Linked DNA regions of Diceros bicornis minor. The protein of the gene in region 1 interacts with the protein of each later gene in a pairwise test. Links are inferred from orthologs where the notes say so. Each region holds a gene or a part of one and is shown on either strand. Other genes may lie near its edges.

Evidence for each region.
Region 2: the proteins of RPA1 (region 1) and RPA4 interact in binary tests that used the Homo sapiens proteins (3 or more experiments, as listed by UniProt). The link is inferred for Diceros bicornis minor from reciprocal best matches to the Homo sapiens genes RPA1 and RPA4.

What each region holds. Positions count from the first base shown.
Region 1 is NC_080757.1:15,948,384-15,960,318, reverse strand, and holds the start of RPA1 (replication protein A 70 kDa DNA-binding subunit), read left to right. Parts: upstream 1-6,205; 5' UTR 6,206-6,281; coding exon 6,282-6,314; intron 6,315-6,703; exon of another isoform or gene 6,704-6,781; intron 6,782-11,935. Other genes in the region: SMYD4 (SET and MYND domain-containing protein 4), read right to left, coding at 4,362-4,495. UniProt on the Homo sapiens protein: As part of the heterotrimeric replication protein A complex (RPA/RP-A), binds and stabilizes single-stranded DNA intermediates that form during DNA replication or upon DNA stress.
Region 2 is NC_080781.1:90,647,244-90,657,458, reverse strand, and holds RPA4 (replication protein A 30 kDa subunit), read right to left. Parts: upstream 4,327-10,215; 5' UTR 3,799-4,326; coding exon 3,007-3,798; 3' UTR 2,928-3,006; downstream 1-2,927. Other genes in the region: DIAPH2 (protein diaphanous homolog 2), read right to left, coding at 5,406-5,545.

The DNA.
Region 1 (11,935 bases):
CACATCGGCCCCAAATGATCGCCAAAAGGTCTGCTAGTTTCAGTTTCCCCCAGGATAATCCCTGTGCTTAGGGCCAGCCTGATCCTCAGCATTTAATTACCCCCAGAAAAGACAATGGCTGGTGATCACCTAGGAAGGAATCTTCCCTCTTTGGAATTTTAGTCCATCTAGTCCTCATCACTGTCTGATGTCTTTAAAAATATGAGTATTACAACATCAATTTTTTTTTTTAGTTGTAATGGAGTGTTGTCTGTTGTGACCTATCATATCCTACCCAGAAGAAGAAGTCCTATTTGCAAAATGTGAAAGAAATCTAGCATTCATAGTCCTGCAACAGACAAAATTTGGGAATAGATTTAATATGAGGCGTGAGGAAGAAGGAAATATCAGGCATGACTCCTAGGTTTCTGGGTAGGAACTGGACAGATGGTGGTGTAATTCACTAAGGGATCACAATGATCTGACATAGACAGGCGGAAAATCATGGCAGCTGTTTAATATAGAATGGTTCATAGGTTTCTACCTTTAGGAAGTGAAATAAGGCAGTGCAATTCACTAAAATGGGGACCACTGGAAGGGAATCCAATTTTAAGGGCAAGATTGTGAGTTTGGTTTTTGATGTGTTGACTTTTAAGTATCTTTGAGACTTTAAGTAGTCAGGTGGATTTAACGATTTGAGTCTCAGAGGAGAAGTGAGGGCTGGAGATATAATTTTGAGGGTAATCAGCATATAGGAGGTAGTTGATGACATGGGTGTGAATGAGGCTGCATCGGTTGGGAATACAGAGTGAAAAAGAGAGAGAGGCTAGGCTGGAGTCTTGAGGAACGCCAATATTAAATGGCGTTTTAATTTTGTCAATAAAAAGTTTTTACAAATGTGTTTTCTTATTTTTTATAGAAGTACCTATGTAATAGCCTCGATTTTACCTCTTAGCCCACAAAGCCTAATTAAATCCTCTTCTTTGATTTATATTTCTTTCAGTGCACCAAAATGTCAAATGATTCTCATGAATTATTCCTTTTTGCTGGTTAGTACACTATATCAGCTATCTTTGGAAAACTCTGCCTATTATCCAAAGTTTTCATTGGCAGTTCTCCATCATTTCTGGAAATTCTGTAAAAGGAATCCACAGACCTGCAGAGCTTCACACACTATTTTTCAAACTGCAGGTCATGATGCAATGGGTCGTGAAATCAATTTAGCTGGTCCTGATGAGTACTTTTTAAATGAGGTAAGTAGGAGGGAAAATACAAAGTACATCAGATGCAGTAGGCATCTACACTGTCTTCCTTGGTGAACTTAACCAGTTTCATGGCTCAAAATGCCATGTACAACGCCCAGATTTACATCTCTAGCCCAGGCCTTTCTCTTGAACTCCACGACCACTTGGACATCTCCACTCGGACGTCTCATAGACATCTCAAACTGAAATATGAACCCCAGATCTTCCTTCCTCAAATAGCTCCTTCTGCAGCCTTCCCAAGTGACGGTAATTTCATCCTTCTACCTTTGGCCCTTTAGGCCTAAATCCCTAGAGTCATGTTTTACTTCTCTCATTTTCTAACACACCATATCCCATCCATCAGGAAATGCTATTAAGTCTATCATCAGAATCCAACCACTTCTCATCACTCCCCCACTACTACCACCCTGGTCCAAGTTACCATCACCTCCTCTCTCACCTACATTCATGCAGTAGCCTCCCAACAGGTCTCTTTATTTCCACTCTTGCTCCAGCTATAGTCTATCATCACCACAGTGGTCAGGGCAATCCTTTAAAACAGGGGTCAGCAAATGTTCTGTAGAAAGCCAGAGAGTAAATATTTAGGCTTTGTGGGCTAAGAGGTAAAATTGAGGCTATTACATAGGTACTTCTATAAAAAATAAGGAAACACATTTGTAAAAACTTTTTATTGACAAAATTCAAAATATAATAATAATTGAGTATAATATTTTTATAATACAGGTCTACTAATGAGAAAAACGGAATTCTTTTTTTTAAAAAATAGATATCAATTTGCTTAACTGGAGTTCAAAGCCAGTGTTCCCTAACATCAAATCAACCACAAACGTTTCTCTGTAAAAACCATTCTTAGTTGATGGCCATACAAAAACAGGCAGTGGATGGATTTACTACACAGGCTGTAGTTTGCTGACCTCTGCTTTAAAAGATAATCAGATCATATCACTCTTCTCTTAAAACCCTGTGAATTAGTTTTCTATTGTTACGTAACAAATCAGCACAAATTCAGCAGGTTAAAACAACACCCATTGACTATCCTCACAGTTCTGTAGATCAGAAGTCCAGGCAGGCTTGACTGGGTTCTCTGCTTAGGGTCTCACAAGGCTAATCAAGGTGACCACTTACACGGAGGATCTGGGAAAGAATCCTCTTTTAAGCTCATTCAGGATGTTGACAGAAGCCAGTTCTTTGTAACTGTGGGTCTGAGGTCCCCATCTCCTTGTTGGCTATTAGCCAGAAAGCACTCTCAGCTTCTAGAGGCTGCCTGCATTCTTGTCATGTGGTCCCCTCCGTCTTTAATGTCAGCAAAAGCACATTCAAATCTCCTGCTTTGAATCTCTCTGATTTCCCTTTCCACTACCAGCTGGAAAAAATTCTCTGCTTTTAAAGGTCTCATCAGACTGGGTTAGGCCCACCCAGATAACTGTATCTCAAGGTCAATTTATTTAGGATTTTCATTACATCTGCAAAATCCCTTCACAGCAGCACTTAGGTTAATGTTAGATTGAATAACCAGGGGACAAGAATGCCGTGGGCCACCTTTAGAAATCTGCCTACGATACCTTGCAATAACTTCCTCCTCAGAGTAAAAAGACAAGGCACTTACAAGGGCCAACACGATTTGTGCTACCTGCTTTCCCCGAGCCCCTGTGCATGTCCTATTACCTCTCTGATGTTATTTCCCCCTACTCTCCCTCTGGCTTACTCTGTTCATCCACACTAGCCTTCCTGCTGTTCTTGAACATGCCAGACACTCTCTCACCTTAGGATCTCCACCTGGAACGCTCTTCTCTCAGATATCTACTTTGTTAACGCCTGTATCTCCAAGACTTAGCTCAACTTTCACTTTTTCAATGAGGCCTATCGGACCAGACTATTTAATACTACAACCCGCACTCTTGCTCTTAGCACTGTCTGTTTCCCCTACCCTGTTCTTTTTTTTCCTTCTGTACTTATCACCTTTAACACGTTATATACTTAACTTATTTATGATGTTTATTGTCTGTTCCTCCTCGCTAGAATTAACCTCTCAAAGGTAAGGATCTTTGTCTATTTTTTGTTTACTGATGTATTTTTTTGTTCACTAAACATATAGCACAGTGGCTGGCACAAAATAGGTGATCAACAAAAATTTACTGAATCAAGTTTTGGGAAACTCCTGTTTCAGTTTTCTACATATGTATATGTGTACTAGGTTGTGATGCAAAGTGTATTTCTTACTGAGGAGTGTAGTCAAGAGAGTTTGAAAACTACTGGGATTAGACTATATGACCTCTAAGGTCCTGTCAAATTTGAGCGCTTATGAATTTCTACGTGCAGCTAATAAATCTCCGCTATATCCTTTGGGATATGGCAGGGCTCACAGCCTAGTGACTATAGCAAGGCATGATTATTGAAACATTGTACTGACACTGAAAAAGCTAAATAGCATCCCTACCTGTTCTATAACAGTAGGTTAGAAAACACTGATAATAGCAAGAACTGCTGAATGCCCCCAAATATAAAAATCTGAGCTTAATCCTTCCATTAAAAAGAGATATAACTTGGGGCCGGCCCGTGGCGTAGTGGTTAAGTGCGCGTGCTCCACTGCTGGCGGCCCGGGTTCAGATCCCAGGCGTGCACAGACGCATCGCTTGTCAGGCCATGCTGTGGTAGCATCCCACATAAAATGGAGGAAGATGGGCACAGATGTTAGCTCAGGGCCAGTCTTCCTCAGCAAAAAGAAAAAGAAAAAAAAAAAAGAGGAGGATTGGCATGGATGCTAGCCCAGGGCTGATCTGCCTCACAAAAAAAAAAAAAAAAAGAGATATAACTTGAAAGCAAATGACAAAAGAGAACATTTTGCAGATCAAAATTTCCCTGGTTAAAGCTTCCACTCATGGGGCCAGCCCCGTGGCTTGGCAGTTAAGTACGCATGCTCTACTGCTGGTGGCCTGGGTTCAAATCCCGGGTGCGCACCGAGGCACCGCTTCTCCGGCCATGCTGAGGCCGAGTCCCACATACAGCAACTAGAAGGATGTGCAGCTATGACATACAACTATCCACTGGGGCTTTGGGGAAAAAAATAAATAAATAAAATCTTAAAAAAAAAAAAAAAAAAAGCTTCCCCTCACTTACTGAAGAAGCGAAGAGGAGTGAAGAAAAATATCTCTCACAGTCTCTGCTGTAGAAATTGTGACCTGAGTCGACATCGGGAGCAAAGACCACTTCTGAAGGACATACGATTTCCACTCATCCACGGGCAGATCCATGTTACTTTAGATCTATAAAACGAATAAGAAAATGAGGAATTCAATTTGTACAAATGCACAATTCTAGTCAAGATTTCATTTAAGCCAGCATGAAGCAACAAAATCAATTCTCGTGGTCTTTTTCTATAGCTGTTTATATGCTGAGGAAGGATCTATATTCTCTCACACCAATTCACTCAACATCCTTTCATTCAGAAATATTTACCGAAAGCCTACTTTGTTCTAGGCACCACTAGGTGATCAGCTAGCCACGATCTGTCCTCTTAGCCCTCCATCTACCCTAGGCTCAAGTCAGAAACCTGAGAGACATCCCGATTTTCCTTTCTCACTCTGCCCAGCAACTATTAAGTAAATATCTCTCTCTAGTTCGGTTTTTTCTTATCCCTAGGTCATTCCTTTAGTTCAAGCCCTCACTATCTCTTGTCTGGCATTCTTTCTAGAGTGTCATAACTAGTCTCCATGCCCTCAGTAACACCCTCCCCCCATTCAATCCATCTTCCACAGTGAGGCAGATGTCAGTCCTTTGCCTTAAATTCATCAATAGCTCCTCCTAGCACAGGGAAGCCAAGTACAAATCCCTCATTATTTGACCCTTGCCTTACTTTTTTTTGTGAGGAAAATCTGCCCTGAGCTAACATCCATGCCAATCCTTCTCTTTTTGCTGAGAAGACCAGCTCTGAGTTAACATCTATTCCCAATCCTCCTCCTTTTTTTTTCCCTTTTTCTCCCCAAAGCCCCAGTAGATAGTTGTATGTCATAGTTGCACATCCTTCTAGTTGCTGTATGTGGGATGTCACCTCAGCATGGCCACACAAGCATTTCGTGGGTGCTCGCCAGGGATCCGAACCTGGGCCCACCAGTAGGAGAGCACGGGCACTTAACACGGGCCGGCCGGACCCTTGCCTTACTTTCTAATGCTCAAGTCTCACTTCTTCCTCTGTATCCTACTATCCTGAGCTACTCAAAGCTATCCCCAGCTTGCCAGGCTGTTCATCTGCCTAGTTTTTGCATAAACTATTCATGCTTCCGGGAGCATCCCTACCCTCACTTGCAGTCCAGCTGGCAAATTTCCACACATCTTTCAAGACTCAGTGCAAATGACAACTCCTCCGGGAAGCCTTCCCTGATTTTCCATCCGTGATCACAGCACACTGTCTCTCTCTCCTGGGGCCCATACCCCGTCTACCTTGAGTTACGGCTACTCACAGCGGAAACTCCTGGACAGACTGTGCTCTCTGAAAGCAGGGACCGGGTCTTATTTACCTTCAGAGCCCCCCACTGTGCCAAGCGCAGGGTCTGGCACCGGCGGGAGCTCAGCACCGGGCTGCTGAAGGAATCAAGTCACTGCTTCGACGACATTTAGCAGCAGAGTTATCAGGGAGCAGCACTAATTCTCTGGGCTACCTGTCGGTCTGCCCGCCAAAGACTGAGCCGGTCTGTTTCCGAAACCCAGCTCGGAAAGCTCCCGGAACTGGCCACCCGCGCGCTTCGCTGCGTCCGCGTCACCGTCGGCGCGCCCGGCGGCCTGGCGCCCCGCCCCCGGGCCCCGCCATCCTGCGACCAGGCCCCCAACCTGGGCACGGGCGGATCACCTAGGCCGCCCGCCGCGCCTCGGCCAATGAGAGGGCTGCTCGGCCCCTAGGCCCGCCCCTGCGCCGTGCGCACGCCGGGAGGCGGGAGCGGCGCACGCAGCGCCTCGGGCCAATTGCTTTGGAGCGTGGGGTCCCCGGGGAGTGAAGTGCGGGCTGCGCAGAAGCCGGAGCGCGGGAGTTGGCGCGTTGGAGCCATGGTGGGGTACCTGAGCGAGGGGGCCATTGCGGTGAGAAGACGGCCGCGAGCCGGGCCGGCGGGCTAGGGTGGCTCTGCGGGTGGAGAAGGGGGAGAGGAGCTGGGGGCCGTGGGGAGAGAACGCGAGAGGAGGAGACAGCGGGCGCGGGATGCGGGGGGGAACCGCCGGCTGACTCCCTAGAATCACACGGTTTTTCCTATCGTCTTGTAAACATGCTCATGTTTTTCCTGCTTAAGAAAACGAAGCAAAATAAACTGTTGATTTTCCATCTCCCTCCCGCGCCCTCTGTCTCCTCCCCTTCCTCCGCCCACGGCCAAACTTCTGCAGACTTGTCTGTTTTCAGCTATTTCATGTCGTCATCTCCCATTAACGCTTTAACCGACTGTAGTCGGTCCCTTCTAGGATCACATAGAAGTAACCTTGGCTGAAGGTAGCAGTCCCTCCAAGTCGCTAAATCCAATAGACAGGTTTCGGTTTTCAGTTTACCAGCGTTCTCAGCAGCGTTTGAGTCTCTTGAGTATTCTTTCTTTCTGATAACACCCTCTACTGTTGGCTTTTGTGGCTCAGGTGGGCTGGTCTTTCCCAGTCTTATTTGCAGGTCCCTCTTTGTAAATTTCTGTTGACTCATGGCTGTTCTCTAGGCTCTATTCTCCCAGGACAACCTCATTACCATCCATATGTCAATTGCTCACTAATGTCTTTGTCCGGAGCCACCTTTACTCTGAAAGACAAACCTTTGTAATCTGTCTGCCTACCTGATATCTCAAAGGCATTTTAAATTCAACATGTCGCAAAGCAAATACATTATCTTCCTAAGTTTGGGCCTCTGATCCCCAGCTGGATGAATGGCACCATTATCCGTTAAGTTATGCTAGCCAGAAATTGTGGAATCATTCTTCCTACAAACTCCATCAGCCTGAGGTCCAGTCCATCACCAAGTCCGGTGTGTTTTACTACATGTATCTCTTAAATCCATCTACTTCTCTCCATCGACATTGACACCATCGTTTCTGGCCTGGACTACTCACTTCCATCCGGCATAATCATCCTCCTGCCATTCCCATCATAGCATATTCCCACTTGTTCTCTCCTCCTTTCCAGGCTTTTTTTTTTTATTTAAGTTCCTGGTATATTCCATACTCTTGCTTTCCACAGGGCCTTTGACCATTCTTTTCCCTCTGCCTACTGCCTAGGTGGCTCTTTAGTCTCCCTTCAGTGGCTAACATAATCTTCATATCTCAGCTCAGTTACTTCTCAGAGAAACCTTCTTTGACTTCCCTTGCTAGGCTAAATCCCTTTATTTTGAGACCCTAATTCCTGTTTGTTCACTTATTAGCTGTTATGATTTTGGGCAGGATACTAAACTCTGCCTTTCCTCTTCTGTAAAATGAGACTAATGATACCTAGTACTTCTTGCCTAAGGTTAGTGGGAGGATTAAGTGAGCACTTACATTTAAAGTGCTTAGTCCCTGTCTGATACAGAGTAAATGCTCAGTATATGTTGCCTATTATTAATAATCACAGATGTAATTTTACATTTATTTGTTTATTTGATTAATAACAGTTACTTTCTGTCTCCCCCCCAATTGTAAATTCTTTGAGGCCTGAAATTATGCCTGTGGTTTTGCTCAACATAGTCTCTCCAGTACCTGGAGCAGTGCTGGCAAGTTTGAGGTGCCCAGTAAATGTTGTCTAGGTGCCTATGAGGCAGTGAAAAGAAAGGGGCAGAGATGGATGGGGAAGAACAGTTGGCAGAGTCGAGTGAATATTTGAGTAAATTAGGAATAATTAGTCCTGAGAAGTGATTGCGAATTGTAGTCCTCATTTACTTTACAGCTGCTACCTTATGTCTTGAAGACAAATTAGGAATTGTTCTTCACTTTTAAAAAGAAGGATCCTGGTGTTATTTAAATAATTTGATTAGTTTTTGCTATATTCAAAATTTTGGAAACATTTCCAGTGTTAGGTGAAGTATTACTTAGGTTTTATTTATAAATGACCAAGAAAATTTTTGTGTTTGTGGTGACGGAGTGTGGAGAACCCTTGTCAATTTTGATTACCGGCTAAAGCAAGTAGTGTCATTTCAGTTCAAAAGACACAGGCCTGAAAGGATAAGCAACTAACACAAATAGTAGAGGCATTTGGGGCAAGAGCTAACATCATGAAATAAGAGATTATGCATGGAACTATTGTGGTAAATAGAATAAAGAGCATTTGTCTCGTAAGTAATCGGTAATATAAAGAAAGGGGAAGAGAACTAATTTTTGACCATTTCCAGTGTGCCAGATACTTTATAGTAGTCACTATTTACAGTAACACTGTAAGGTAGAATTTTATCATTACCCTCGTCTTACAGATGAAGAAATTAAAGTGCAAAGAAGGTAAATAATTTGTCAGTGGGGTGAGGATTTGAACGCATGTGCCCTTGACTATTACATTCTTTTGCTTTGTATTTCTGTTAGCAATGTTAGTTTGGGAAAGTTAAGGCAGTTTTGTCTCAAGTGTACATATCATGCTATATGTCCTAGAAGAGTAAATCTTATATTCACTATTAATGATGACACAAATTAAAAAGAATAATAAAGTAATACTTGCATGCGGTTTTCAAATCAAATAGAACAGAAAGGTGTTTGATGAAGTTACTGACCCACTGCCCCACCTTGCCCCAGTTCTGTTCCCTAGAAACAGCTACTTTTTAAAATCATGTTTATTGAAGTTCAGTTTGATTTACCTGTAATAAAAACTATAATACATATGATGAATACATATAATAAAAACTCATCAAACTGTGTGCAGTTTGTTGTATATACTCCTGTAACCACACCACCCCAGTCTCCTGCTGCTTCCCCATCCCCTGCTCATTCCCAGGCACCACTGCTCTGGGTTCTGGTGTCTATCTCTTTAAGTTAGTTTTGACTGTTCTAAAACTTCATATAAGTGGAATCAAATAATAGGTACCCTTTTGTGTCTGGCTTTCTCTCAGCAAAATGTTTTTTGAGGTTTATCCATGTTATTTCAGTGGTTTGCACCTTTTTAATGCTGAGTAGTATTCCATTGTATGAGAAAACACAATTTGTGTATTTCCCTATTGTTGTTGAACATTTGGGTTATTTTCATTTTTTGGCTATTATGAGTGAGGAGGCTATGAACATTTATATACAAGTCTTTTTGTGGAAATATGTTTTCATTCCTCTGGGATAAATACCTAGGAGTGAAATGGCTGGGTCATATGGTAACTGAATGTTTATCTTTATAAGAAATTGCCAAACTGTTTTCCAAAGTAGTTATGAGAGTTCTAGTCGCTCCAAATCCTCACCAACGCTTAGTTTTGTCAGTTTAACTATTCTAGTGAATGTGTAGTGGTATCTGACTGTGGTTTTAATTTGTATTTGGTAAAATTTTAAAAATTGGGTTGTGTTCCTATTAATTAGTTGTAAGAATTCTTTATTTAATCTGGATATGTCTTTTGTTAAATAACAAGCATTACATAAGTTTTCTCCCAATCTGAGGCTTGCCTTTTCATTCTTTTAATGGTGTTTTTTTGAAGAACAGTTTTAAATTTTGATGAAGTCCACTTTATTTTTTTTTTCCTTTTCTGAATCGTGTTTTTGTGTCCTAAGAAATCTTTGCCTACCCCAAGGTCACAAATCTTTTCTCCTGTGTTTTATTCTAGAAGTTTTATAGTTTTAGTTTGTATTCAGGTCTGTAATCCATTTCAAGTTTATTTTTTTATGTATTGTGTATGGATCATTTTTTTCCCATGAAGTATTCAGTTGTTCTAGCACCATTTGTTGTCAAGACTATAGTGTTCCGTTGAATAACATTGTTTGTTACCTTTGATAAAAATTAATCTATATATGTGTGGGTCTGTTTCTGGAATGTCTATTCTGCCACTGCTCTATATGTTGATGCTTAGACCAATACCGTATTGTCTTCATAACTGTAGTTTTATAGTAAGTCTTGAAATTGGATAGTGTAAATTCCCCAGCTTCATTCTTTTTCAAAATTGTTTTACTGAATCTAGGTTCTTTGTACTTTCATATACGTTTTAGAATTAGCTTGTCAGTTTCTGATAAAGAAAGCCTGATGGGATTTTGATTGATAGAACATTGTATTTATAAATCGATTTGGGGTCAATTGACGTCTTACAGACATTGAGTCTTTCAAACCATGGACTTGGTATATCTCTCATTTATTTAGGTTTTCTTTTTCTTTTTTTTTTTTTTTGATGAGGACGATCAGCCCTGAGCTAACATCCATGCCAATCCTCCTCTTTTTTTTTTTTTTTGGTGAGGAAGATAGGCCCTGGGCTAACATCCGTGCCCATCTTCCTCCACTTTATATGGGACGCCGCCACAGCATGGCCTGACAAGCGGTGCGTCTGTGTGCGCCCAGGATCCAAACCCTGGCTGCCAGCAGTGGAGTGCGTGCACTTAACTGCTACGCCAGGGGACTGTCCCCTATTTAGGTTTTCTTTAATTTCTCTCAGTGTTTTGTACTTTTCAGTGTGCAGGTCTTGTACATGTATTGTTACACTAGGTATTTATTTTACTTTTGATGGTATTAAAATTTTTTTTTTTTTTTTGCTGACGAAGATTACCTGTGAGCTAACATCTGTTGCCAATCTTCCTCTTTTTATTTTTTGCTTGAAGAAGATTAGCACTGAGCTAACATCTGTGCCAAAGTTCCTCCACTTTGTATGTGGGTGGATATATATCAGCATGGCTGATGAGTGGTGGAAGTCCACAGCCAGGATCTGAACCCACGAACCCAGGCTGCTGAAGCAGAGCGTGCCAGACTTAACCACTACGCCATGGGGCTGGCCCCTAAAATAGTATTTTTTAAAGTTTCATTTTCCAGTTGTTTGTTGGTAGTATATAAAAATACAATTGATTTTTGCATATTAACCTGGTATCCTGCAAACTTGCTAAATTGACATAGTAGGTTTTTGTAGATTCCTTAGAATTTTCTGTGTACGTGATCATTTCATCTGCAAATAAAGATAGTTTTATTTCTTCCTTTTCAGTCTTTATGCCTTTATTTCTTTTTCTTGCCTTATTGCATTAGTGAGGAGCTCTAATACTATATTGAAAAAAAGTGATGAGAGCTATATCCTTGTCTTGTTCCTGATTTTAGGGGGAACTCTTTCAGTCTTTTGCCATTGAGTATGATGACAACTAGACTTTTTGGTAGATGCCTGCTATCAGTTTAAGCCTCTCTTCTATTCCTAGTTTGCTGAGACTTTTTATAATGAATAAGTGTTGAATTTTGTCAGATGCTTTTTCTGCATCTATTGAGATGATGGTGGTTTTTCTTCTTTATTCTGTTAATGTGACAAATTACACTGATGGACTTTTGGATGTTGAGTAAACCTTGCCTTCTTGGGATAAACCTCACCTGATGATGACATATTATACCCATTTTATATAGTGCTAGATTTCGTTTGCTAATACATTGTTGAGGATTTTTGCATCTATGTTCATGAGTAGTGTACAGGTTTTTCTTTCTTAGAATGACTTTGTTTTTTCTATCAGAGTAAACCTAACATCATAAAATGATTTGAAAAGTTCTCTTCCATTTCCTGAAAGAATTTATGCAAGATTGGTATTTCTTTTGTCCTTAAATGTTAGATAAAATTTACCAGTAAAGCC
Region 2 (10,215 bases), on another chromosome or scaffold:
ATATAGTAGGTGCTCACTAAAGGTTTCATGAACGAAAATAATTCTTGGTGGTTACTTTTCTTGATTCATCATTATAAAAAGTAAATGGAAACTGAAAAAATATAAGATTTAAATTTCTCAGATTATACTCAAAATATAAATCTAAACTTAGTAATAAAATGATTACTAACAATTATGAAAACAGTAATAATATTAGCTTTGACTTGAAAACATTTTCAAATTTAGATATTCAGTCAACTAAGCATCAACTTCAATATAAATGCATATGTCTCATATGTCTACAAGCCATAGAAAAAAAACCCCAAGTAGATTATAATCATCACTTATGTTCTTCAGATTCCTCAGGCTTAAATGTCCCTGCCCAAAATGGTCAATAGTATTTCCCCAGGATTTGAATCTTATCCTCAAAGGTTTGGCTCACATATAGGGCAGGACTGGAGAGGAAGGGGAGCACTGGCCAAGTCATTCACTGTCTAAACAAGACTGAAAAAGAAATATGCATGCCAGGTGAATGGTTTTAAATGAATTTTTAACATCTGCTACCCCTAACGTGCATCAAATATGCATGTATAAGACAATCCAGCAATTGTTTTCTACCTAAACATGTTTGTTGATTTCCACTCACATTATAGCCAGACCTACTTACTATTCTCCCATTGCAGTCCCTTATCCTCTGCAGAATCCCACTAAAGCATGATTCCATTCAGAAGAATAAGGGGAAGACGGGTGCCCAGGGAATTAACAAAGCTGAAAAGAACCCCAAGGAACACAGAGGCCAGTTCCTCTCAGAGGATGGGGGCGAGGAAGAGGAGGAGTTGGTCCTCCACCTTAAATTCAGATGTACATGTTGCAACATATCAGTTCCCAGGCAGAAAGGCAGCTGAAAAGGGCTTATTTTGGTTGCTGTTTTCCTAGTTCTGGAGGAACATTCCTAGAGTGGGGAAAATGTGGCTACACATCCAACAGCCAGTTGAATCAACTCGGACAATTAACAGAGTGACCTATAAAGTCACAAATATCAGATTTTAATCTCAGGGTTCCTGCATTTGTATAAGTGATATCACAAAAGAATGATATGTCCCCTAGACTATTTCTTTCCACAATGAGATTCTGAGGAAGAAATATGCCCCTCGTTGCATTTCCCCCAGTGTGATTTTCCCCAGGGCAGGCAACCTTTTTCAAAAAAGAGTGGTTCCAAATTTCTTATGTTTATGAAAACTAGAATTTGCAAAAACAACTGATAATTTAAATGACAAATAGGTTTATAGTATGTTAACCATCTGTGGTTTTCAAAAGAGTGTCATTTATGATTTCTTTGCTTTTGAGGGGAAGAAAAGTGAAGTTTATGCCTCAGAAAGCTTAAGCAGGAACTGATGATAAATTTTTGTAAAGGCTGGCAAAGAAAGGTCATATACAGTTTTCCTGACTGTGGATTACTGGGAATGGTATTTTCTCTGTTTTTGCACCTTCTTTTTGTGACTCAATTAAGGCAAGTGATGCTTGTCTCTTCTACCTGTCTGAATGTATATATTTTTTTCTTTTCTCTAATGTAACAAAACTAGTAACTTAAAAGATACCATCATTAGTGTACATATAACTGAGGGCTTACTTTATTGAATTATTTAAAAGTCTCACGTAATTAATATAATCTATACTAAAATGTATTATTACAACTACGATATGTTACTGGTATTATATAGAGAAGAGAAAAAATTATTCTGGATAATTAAAATTATTAATCCTCAAAAACAAAAAAAAGGCCTTTTCAAATGTGTTTAGAAAAAAATTACACAGGAAATTCAAGATTTTGCAAAAATATTTTAATAAAACATTCAAATAAATTTCAGTTAAACTTGCTAAACTTAATATTCTTATAATTACTTCTTATTTGGTTACCTAATCTATAAGAACAAAACCTGTTATACATAAAGAAGAGCATTTAGTACTACAGATAACACATCAGAACAAAAAATTTACAGAAAGTGTGGCATCCATGTATCATGCAACTACAACAGATTGTAATTTAATCCAAATATTGCCATATCGCATTTGAAGTAATCATTAACCACATTTTAAGAAAAAAGTATTCAAAGATGACCACATTATATAAACATGGTATAATCTTACTTTTTATGAACATAAACCTATGGTAATAAGAGCAAATCACTCAATAAACACTTGAACTGAGCATATGAATTCATAAGTTGCTATCTTTAGCACATCTGAATTAATTACTGTATTTAACAAGAGATAACAATATGACTATAATAAGCTAAATCCAAACAGAGAAAATAAGTCTAATGTAAAAACAAAAATTTTTTTTTGTTTTTGTCTCTTAGCTGGCTCCCTGACTGCATCTATTTTCTTCTAATACACGGCTATTTCAGAAAAAGAAGCTCCCACACAACTAAATAATAATTTTCAACTTTCTCTATACCTTTTCTCCCCCAAATTCATCCATCCAGGAGTATTTTCATTTGCTTGCTGGTAAATCCTATAAAAAGTCCAATTTATCCATCCCCATCTCCCTCTGAGCTTCAAATATGTTAAAAAAACAGAAAAGTTCAAAGCAGTTGGAAAAGCAGTGATGTTCCAAAGAATGCCAGTTGAGATCTTTTGCTGAAAAAATCTACTTCCTAGGGCCGGCCCGGTTGGGCAAGCGGTTAAGTGCGCGCACTCCGCTGCGGCGGCCCGGGGTTCACTGGTTCGGATCCCGGGCGCGCACCGACGCACTGCTTGGTAAGCCATGCTGTGGCAGCGTCCCATATAAAGTGGAGGAAGATAGTCCCATATAAAGTGGAGGAAGATAGGCACAGATGTTAGCCCAGGGCCGTCTTCCTCAGCAAAAAAAACAAAAAAAAAAAAAAGAGGAGGATTGGCGGATGTTAGCTCAGGGCTGATCTCCTCACAAAAAAAAAAAAAAAAAATCTACTTCCTAAAAGTCAACAGGTCAAACTCACAGCTGGAGGCGAGGGTCTTCAGAAAATGAAAAATCTTTTCGCCGCTTCAATCCGCGGACTTAAAATGCTCCCCATCCACAGTGGGGTAGATGTGGCCCTCGACGGTCAGATAATCAATGGCTTGCTTGATGGTCCCGATGCTCAGGCTGCAAAGCTCGGTTTGGAGCTCTTGAATGCTCTTGCCTTGCTGTCGAGGACACTCATGAATCAAACGCAGCACCTCCTTCGAGATGAAGTCAGGGCAGTACTCGCCGTACTCCTGAGCCTCATCAACTTCCGGTGGGGCAACAGGTGCATTTTGCCCAGAGGCCGCTCGGCGGGCTTTATCCAGCACCATGTGCGCGTTGACCGTTTCCAGAATATGTGCGGTGAACTCGTTCATGTCCTCCAGGACGCGGATTTTCAATACCTCAAGGCTCTTCACCCCCGCAGAACATTTGAGGATACCGAACACTTTGGCGTATACTCCCACTGGCAGCGGAGTCATCCCCTGCTTTGCTTTATCTCTGCCGACCCACTGGCGGACCTCAATAGGCTTGGTGGTCATATCATCAATTCTGTAAAGAACGTAGTTTGGAGCCGGCTCTGCCTTTCGGATTATCCCCACGATAGAGACCCGGGAAACTTCAATTCCCCTAATCGTGAAGACATCATCAGCCAGAGTGGAGGTGAGCAGCTGGTTTACACAACAAGGTATAATATCCTGGATTCGGGCCCTGGATCTTGAGGGCTTAGCAGCAGGAGCTGTGCCGCCGCCCTGAGACGGTCGGTCATTGCTTCCGCTGGCTCCACCCGCGGCAGAGATGCTGCCATAGCTCCCAAACCCTTTCTTACTCATGTTGAAGGCAGCTCAGGCAGCTGAGGAGGTGCGGTCGGATCTAGTCGGTGAGTTCCAAAGGCGGCTCTGACCTCCACAGACCGCTTCCCGCGAAGGCTTGGGCTTGTGACGACACAAGCAGCCTCACGCGACCTCTGGAGCCAATCAGGACCTACCAGCTTCTTGCCTGATCCCATAATTCTTTGTAGTCGTCTGGCGGTTGCTGGGCTGCATTTTAAAAGGCCCCCCATGTAATTTTAAGCCTTTCCTGCCGCCTTTATAAAAGTACATTTTTACTAGGTTTTTCCCCCCCTTCATTCCTCAATGCCACAACTTCTTCTATAGTCACTTCTTAAAGACTCATTTACTCATTCAATCAATTAACCATTTAACAAAATTTTTCAGAGCCTATCATAAGTGCACTATGGTACAGTACAGTAGGTTGGGGGGGCGGCGGGGGGGGATGGGCGGGCCTAGGGGGGTGGATGGGGGTGAGAGGGAACCACCACGATGGTTACTGTTCTTAAAGAACTCACATCCTTGTTCAAAGCATTAAAACTGGAAGCATTCTGGAAGAAATGGCAAGACAGCTACCTTTGAATGATTATCATATTCAAAAGTAAGTCACATCTTACCACTGTCTTTTTAAACTTTTTATTACAAAATTGTAAATTCCCAGTTATTCTACCAAATGCACTAAAGGAAAAAATAAATAATGTGATATATTTCAATTTATACATAAATCAAAATAGAATAACTGAGCTCTAAATTATTTTCAAGGCTCTGTGGATAGGTCAGAGAAATACAAGATGTCAGCCTCATTATATATTAGGAAAAACATGAGTAAAATCAAAATACAGTTTCTATATACCCTTATCCAGGAATTTCTGAATTTAAGATTCTAGCAATTATGTAAGCAGATCTCAGAATATTTTCATATTACATTGAAAGTCTATTTTTTCTTATAAAAATATTTTATTTTGGATGTAATTAATTTAAAGGCTTTTTTTATGGTTAATAAAGCAACATCAGTTACTGGAATCCACCATTGGCAAGGAACTTCTTCCTTAAAAATTCTTTGTAGTTAGGTAATAGCCTAAATGTGTATAGTTTTGAGGAGTTTATTAAAACTTGCTCTCATTTCTTTTATTGTTTAAAATAATTTAATTTTTGCCATCCCAAATTACAGAAATGTGTGAATAGTATATCTAAAACTTTTAGAAGCATATAAAATTATATTTACTTCTCAGGTTAAAAAGGAATAATATCATAGAGCCAATTACTTCATTTGTTTTACAAATAAATACATAATAATTGTTATATGAGTACACAGATTTCCATGTAAATGTGGATATTTAACTTCTGGATCCATGTTTTATATAATCAAAGAGGAATTAAACATCCAAGTAATATTTGTATTCTTAAAATTCTGTTATTAGAGATGATATTAAGATGATATATTTTTTAAATGTTTACAACCTCATAATCAGACACTGCTGTTTTATTAGCTAACTTCAGACTTCTGTTCAGAAAATCTTGAGGTTACAATGACATAACTGATTATATTCCCAACAATTATATACAGTACAAATTGTATGAATCATACCAAAACAGTAAGAACCACCTACCTGACAGGATTGCTGGTTAAGGAAACTCTCAGAGATTCTAGGCAATTAAGAAGTTTCTCATCTGAAATACCAGATCGTAATTCATGAACGTATTCTTGTGAAGACAGGGTGCATTCATGTTTGCTGTTTTTCAGTCCTCCCTGTAAAAAATAAACAAATAAATACCACTTTAGACAAATGACAGGTTTTAAAAAACCTTTTAAAATAAAATAATGCATAGAATATGTGAATATTTTACTGCATAATGTGTGCAGAGAGCTAGGCATGTAAAAATTCTTGGTCGCAGAATTGATGTGGTAAAATCATATTGCATATATGTCAACACTCTCCCTAGCCTCATTTAAAAGAAAATTACACTGCTGGTGCTCATGGCCTGAATAGAATATGGACTTGAGTTGCATAAAGTGTCACTGACAAGGATGCTTAAATTTACAGTCCAAGCATTAGGATTAACGTTAGCTGGTTCTTCTTAACCACAGAATGAACATTTAGAAATCATCTTATTAATTTTCCTAGCTAAGATATTTATATTCTATTCCACAAAATACAGTGAACAAAATTGAATATAAAACATTATACATAACCCCAATCCATTGAGATATATCAGAGTATCAGCCTATTTCAAAAAACAAATGAAAACGGTTATTAAATGTAAAACAATATAGTCTCCAGTTAGCATGTTAGTTAATCAAATTAGTCTAAAGCATTCACCAATTCCCAACTATTCATTCCTAACTATGTTACTCCCATGTTGTAGATTAATCTTAAAAAGTCATTGAATGCATTTATCTGATAGCGACTAGTTTTTAGCTTAATTTCCAATATACGGGAGTTATTTCTAGAACTCATTATCTCATCACAGCTCCTTAGCTTCATCACCTTGCCATAACTATGTAAGTAGTTTGGGGAAAAGGCTGGGAGAAAAACATCATCAACACATTCATTGTACTAATAACTCATAGTTTCACATTCTAGACACACATAATCATAACTTCCCCTTTCCTATATTACAAACATATCCCCCTGAATTAAAACTCTAGCATAAGTCCCATTTTCTAAGTTCATATGAATTACACTCAGTTTCTGCTAAGTATCTAAGCTAAAATACGGAAAGCAATTTTTTTTTCCATTTGGTAGAAGTCATATCATTAGAGGATATAGAATTTTTTAAAAAACCAATGTGTTAATAATGAGAAATGGATTCCCTAGGGTTTCATACTCTTTGGCTTTTTATTGAGAACGCCTCCTCAATATAGTAATTGTCAATCATTCTCAACGTCTGAATTTTTAAAAATTCCATTAAATAGTAAATGTTTAAAGTCTGCTAAAGTCTATGTAGGGGAATTGTATTTCCTTATAGCGCTGTGGCACTGTCACTCTTACAGCACTTAAGACATTGGGACAGAGGTCATAAGTTCTAGTTCTAGACTGGGAACTCCATGTATGCCAAGCATCTAACACAGTGACTGACTTTAGTGAGCCCCAACAAAAGTGTGCTGTTATTGAATCTGTCCATTACAATTACAGAACAAGGAATACAACTTCATACTTTCAGCTCCCATATTTTGTGTAATGGCCACTGACTTGATTTTTCTTGCTTTGTTAGAATATACAGTAGATGTTCAAGAAGTCTACTAGATGAATCACCACATAGATGCACCGTAAGTAAAAACATCACCATGAAATCATTTCCACGTATCTATAACATATTTACCCATCTCTTTAGGCTACAGATCCACAAAGAATAATAGCAAGTAAACATTTATAGCATAAAATTTTGCAAGTCTACAGTCACATACCACTTCCGTATGATCCTCAAACTTGTTTTCTTAATTAATGGATAACAAGGCCCTACTGATCCTCCCCTGGAGGCTTGTATATAGAGCTTATTCCTGTAGAACGACCTTTGTATTTGCTGTATTCTCTGCCTAAAAGACTCTTACCCCTGACCTCTCCATTGCTGGCTCTCATCATTTAAGTCTCAGCCCAATAGTCTTCTCTCCTCCACACTCCAGTTATCATCCCAACATCATTTTAAATCTCATTTATAGTATTAGCTCTATATAAGTTTATCTTGTTTAGCACTTTATTTGTTTACTGTGTCTTCCTCATTAAAACATAAGCTCTATGAGGCAAGAATCTTGCCTACCTTGTTCACCACTGTATCTCCAGATCTTAACACAGTGCTTGGCACACAGTAAGTACTCAATACATATTCATTGAATGAATGAATGGATGGATGGATGGATGGATGGATGGACAGATGGTTAATAAACAAACGGGTGAATGACTGATGAGTTTCAACATGAAGAAGCTTCCAAACTCAGTTTAGTTTTGCTTCAGAATATTACAGTTCTAAGATGTTCCATTACAATATATTTCGAGATGCTAGTAACAGCTCAAACAGCTCAAACTGCCACTGGGTTTGAATCACGGCTCCCTCACTTACCTTCTAGATAATCTGTGAGCAGGCTATTGAACTAATCTCTATAAACCTGTTCATTAATCCATGATATACGGGTAATAAACACCTACCCCACATGTTTGTTACGAGGATTAAGACAATGCATATAAAGTGCCTAAAATGGGCATTTCCTATGTGTTGCCTCATAGACAGAGTAAGCTGCTCAGAAAATGTTAGTTCCTGTCTGCCTTACGGTCGTGGCTAAGATACTCTTTATGGAACAACTGGGCCAGCCCATCACATTGGGACTTACCTCTTCCCCAGGTCTTAGAAATAAGTTTAAGTTGTATAATTTAGGATACTCTGTGGTTATAAGGAGTGGAAGCAAACAATCTAATGGAGCAAGACAGAGAATATATAACCTTATAAAACAAATGCCTTTTATCAAGTTAGAAGGATTCTGGGGTTTTAACATAAGTTCATATTTGAAAACATGATAGCATGTAAAGGCTAGACCAGCCCTTCTAATACCCTCATTACAGAAATAGAGAATCAAGGTGATTGGAAAGTTCACATAATTAGTGAGGTTGTGAGAATAAAACACTAATATTCTGGTCCTCAGGTTACTTCTTTTTCCACTATATGTCACTTTTTCTTATTATGGAATGAAAAATTAAAGCAACAAGTATTTAATTCTGAAATCTCTATTACAAAATGTCAAAGTATCTTTAGCATAGTCAATATGGTGCAACATAATATTAAAGAAATCACCTAAAAACAAAACAGTGCAATAGATTAAACTAATTCTCACTATATTTAATAGGGCTGTAATACAAAAATGGCTTATTATTAACATCCTGTTCTGATACTGAACAAAGGAAACAACTAGATAATGGATGGATAATAATGGAAATTTTAATTAGCTGCTCTGTATGAGATTAATGAAAATTACCACTGTGCCCATTTGATCTCTAAAAAATACTGCAGACAAAGTGAGCAATTAGCGTACATCATGCTATTCCAAAGCTAGGTGAACAAAAAGCTTTCCTAATTTGAAGCCATTCCTTAATTTGAAAATCATTAGGATGGAGATCCTTGTCAGTGTGACTGTGCTTGTATTATTCTAAGACACTACACAGAGAACCCAAAGGTTCTTTGGGTCAGTGTAATAATCTCGTTCCCCTTACTCTGAGATGAAACGTTAGTATCAAAACCAGACGAGCAATATTCTAAAAAGAACATTTTAAGTTTGCCGTGGAGATACCACTTCGGATTTTAGATTGACTTAGTCTGAGCATGATCTGTCATTCTTTAATGTAAATTCTGATTTACTTATAATTTGAGGAAAGGCTTCATAGTTCTAAGTTGTCAAGGTATCTTGCTGCAGACACTGGAAGAACTATTGATTGTACACAGATCTTTTCAACTACAGCATGCACACAAATAGCAATTACTATCAGGGGTGTCATCTTCAAATAGGAAGGATAATATTATTGTCATGAAAACAATAATTCCATTACTGTCATTGACCATGATTTATAAACCCTAATGTAGTCAGGTTTCTTTGGCTACTTTAATTAAGTGAGATTCTTAGCTATCACTGCAGATCTCTGAAAAAGGAAGGTTACAGATTAACAAATTTGGAACTATATCTATACACAGAGTTGTTCTTTAAGAGGCTCCTATAACTTTAAAAGCATAAGAAATGGAAAAGCCATTTTCATCATCATCAGTTCCTTGAGTTCCAGTAGGAAAACACAAAACAAATGTTTGATCTAAGTCAATCTACATATTTATTCTAATAATGATGTATTTGGTGGACTATAGGACTCTGAATATATTGTTAAACCTTTAGATGGCTTCTCTGCAGTTATATAAGAAAAACATCTCATCAAGGGAGATTATTAGAATTAAGTAATTTATCCAAATTTATCCAATGTTTCCAAAAAATACAAAAGGTATTTTAAAATAAATATATCACATTACAACATTTTAAATAATTTTATATGCAATTTGCAGTGAAAATTCTTTAAACTGCATGAAAAATACTGCATAAAAGATACAATGTATTATCAATTCAGGGTCTGTAAGATAAAAACAAAAAAATACCATCATGAGATAACTTCATATAGTGTCATTTCCCATTGCAGGACACAATGTTTTTAAGTAAGACCTTTTCAGAGGCCATAAGTGATATGTAAAGTAGGAGAACATATCCTAAATTCTAGGACAGAAAAAAAAAAAAAACTTTGTTATAGCAATATAGAAGCATCATAATTCTTCAGATTATACATACCATTTGTCCCAAAAGGATTTAACTAACTAAGCATATTTAAATATGATTAGCTAAACTGTTTAAAGAAAAGTATAAGATTTTCTATGAGAAAGCATTTATTGTTTACTTAT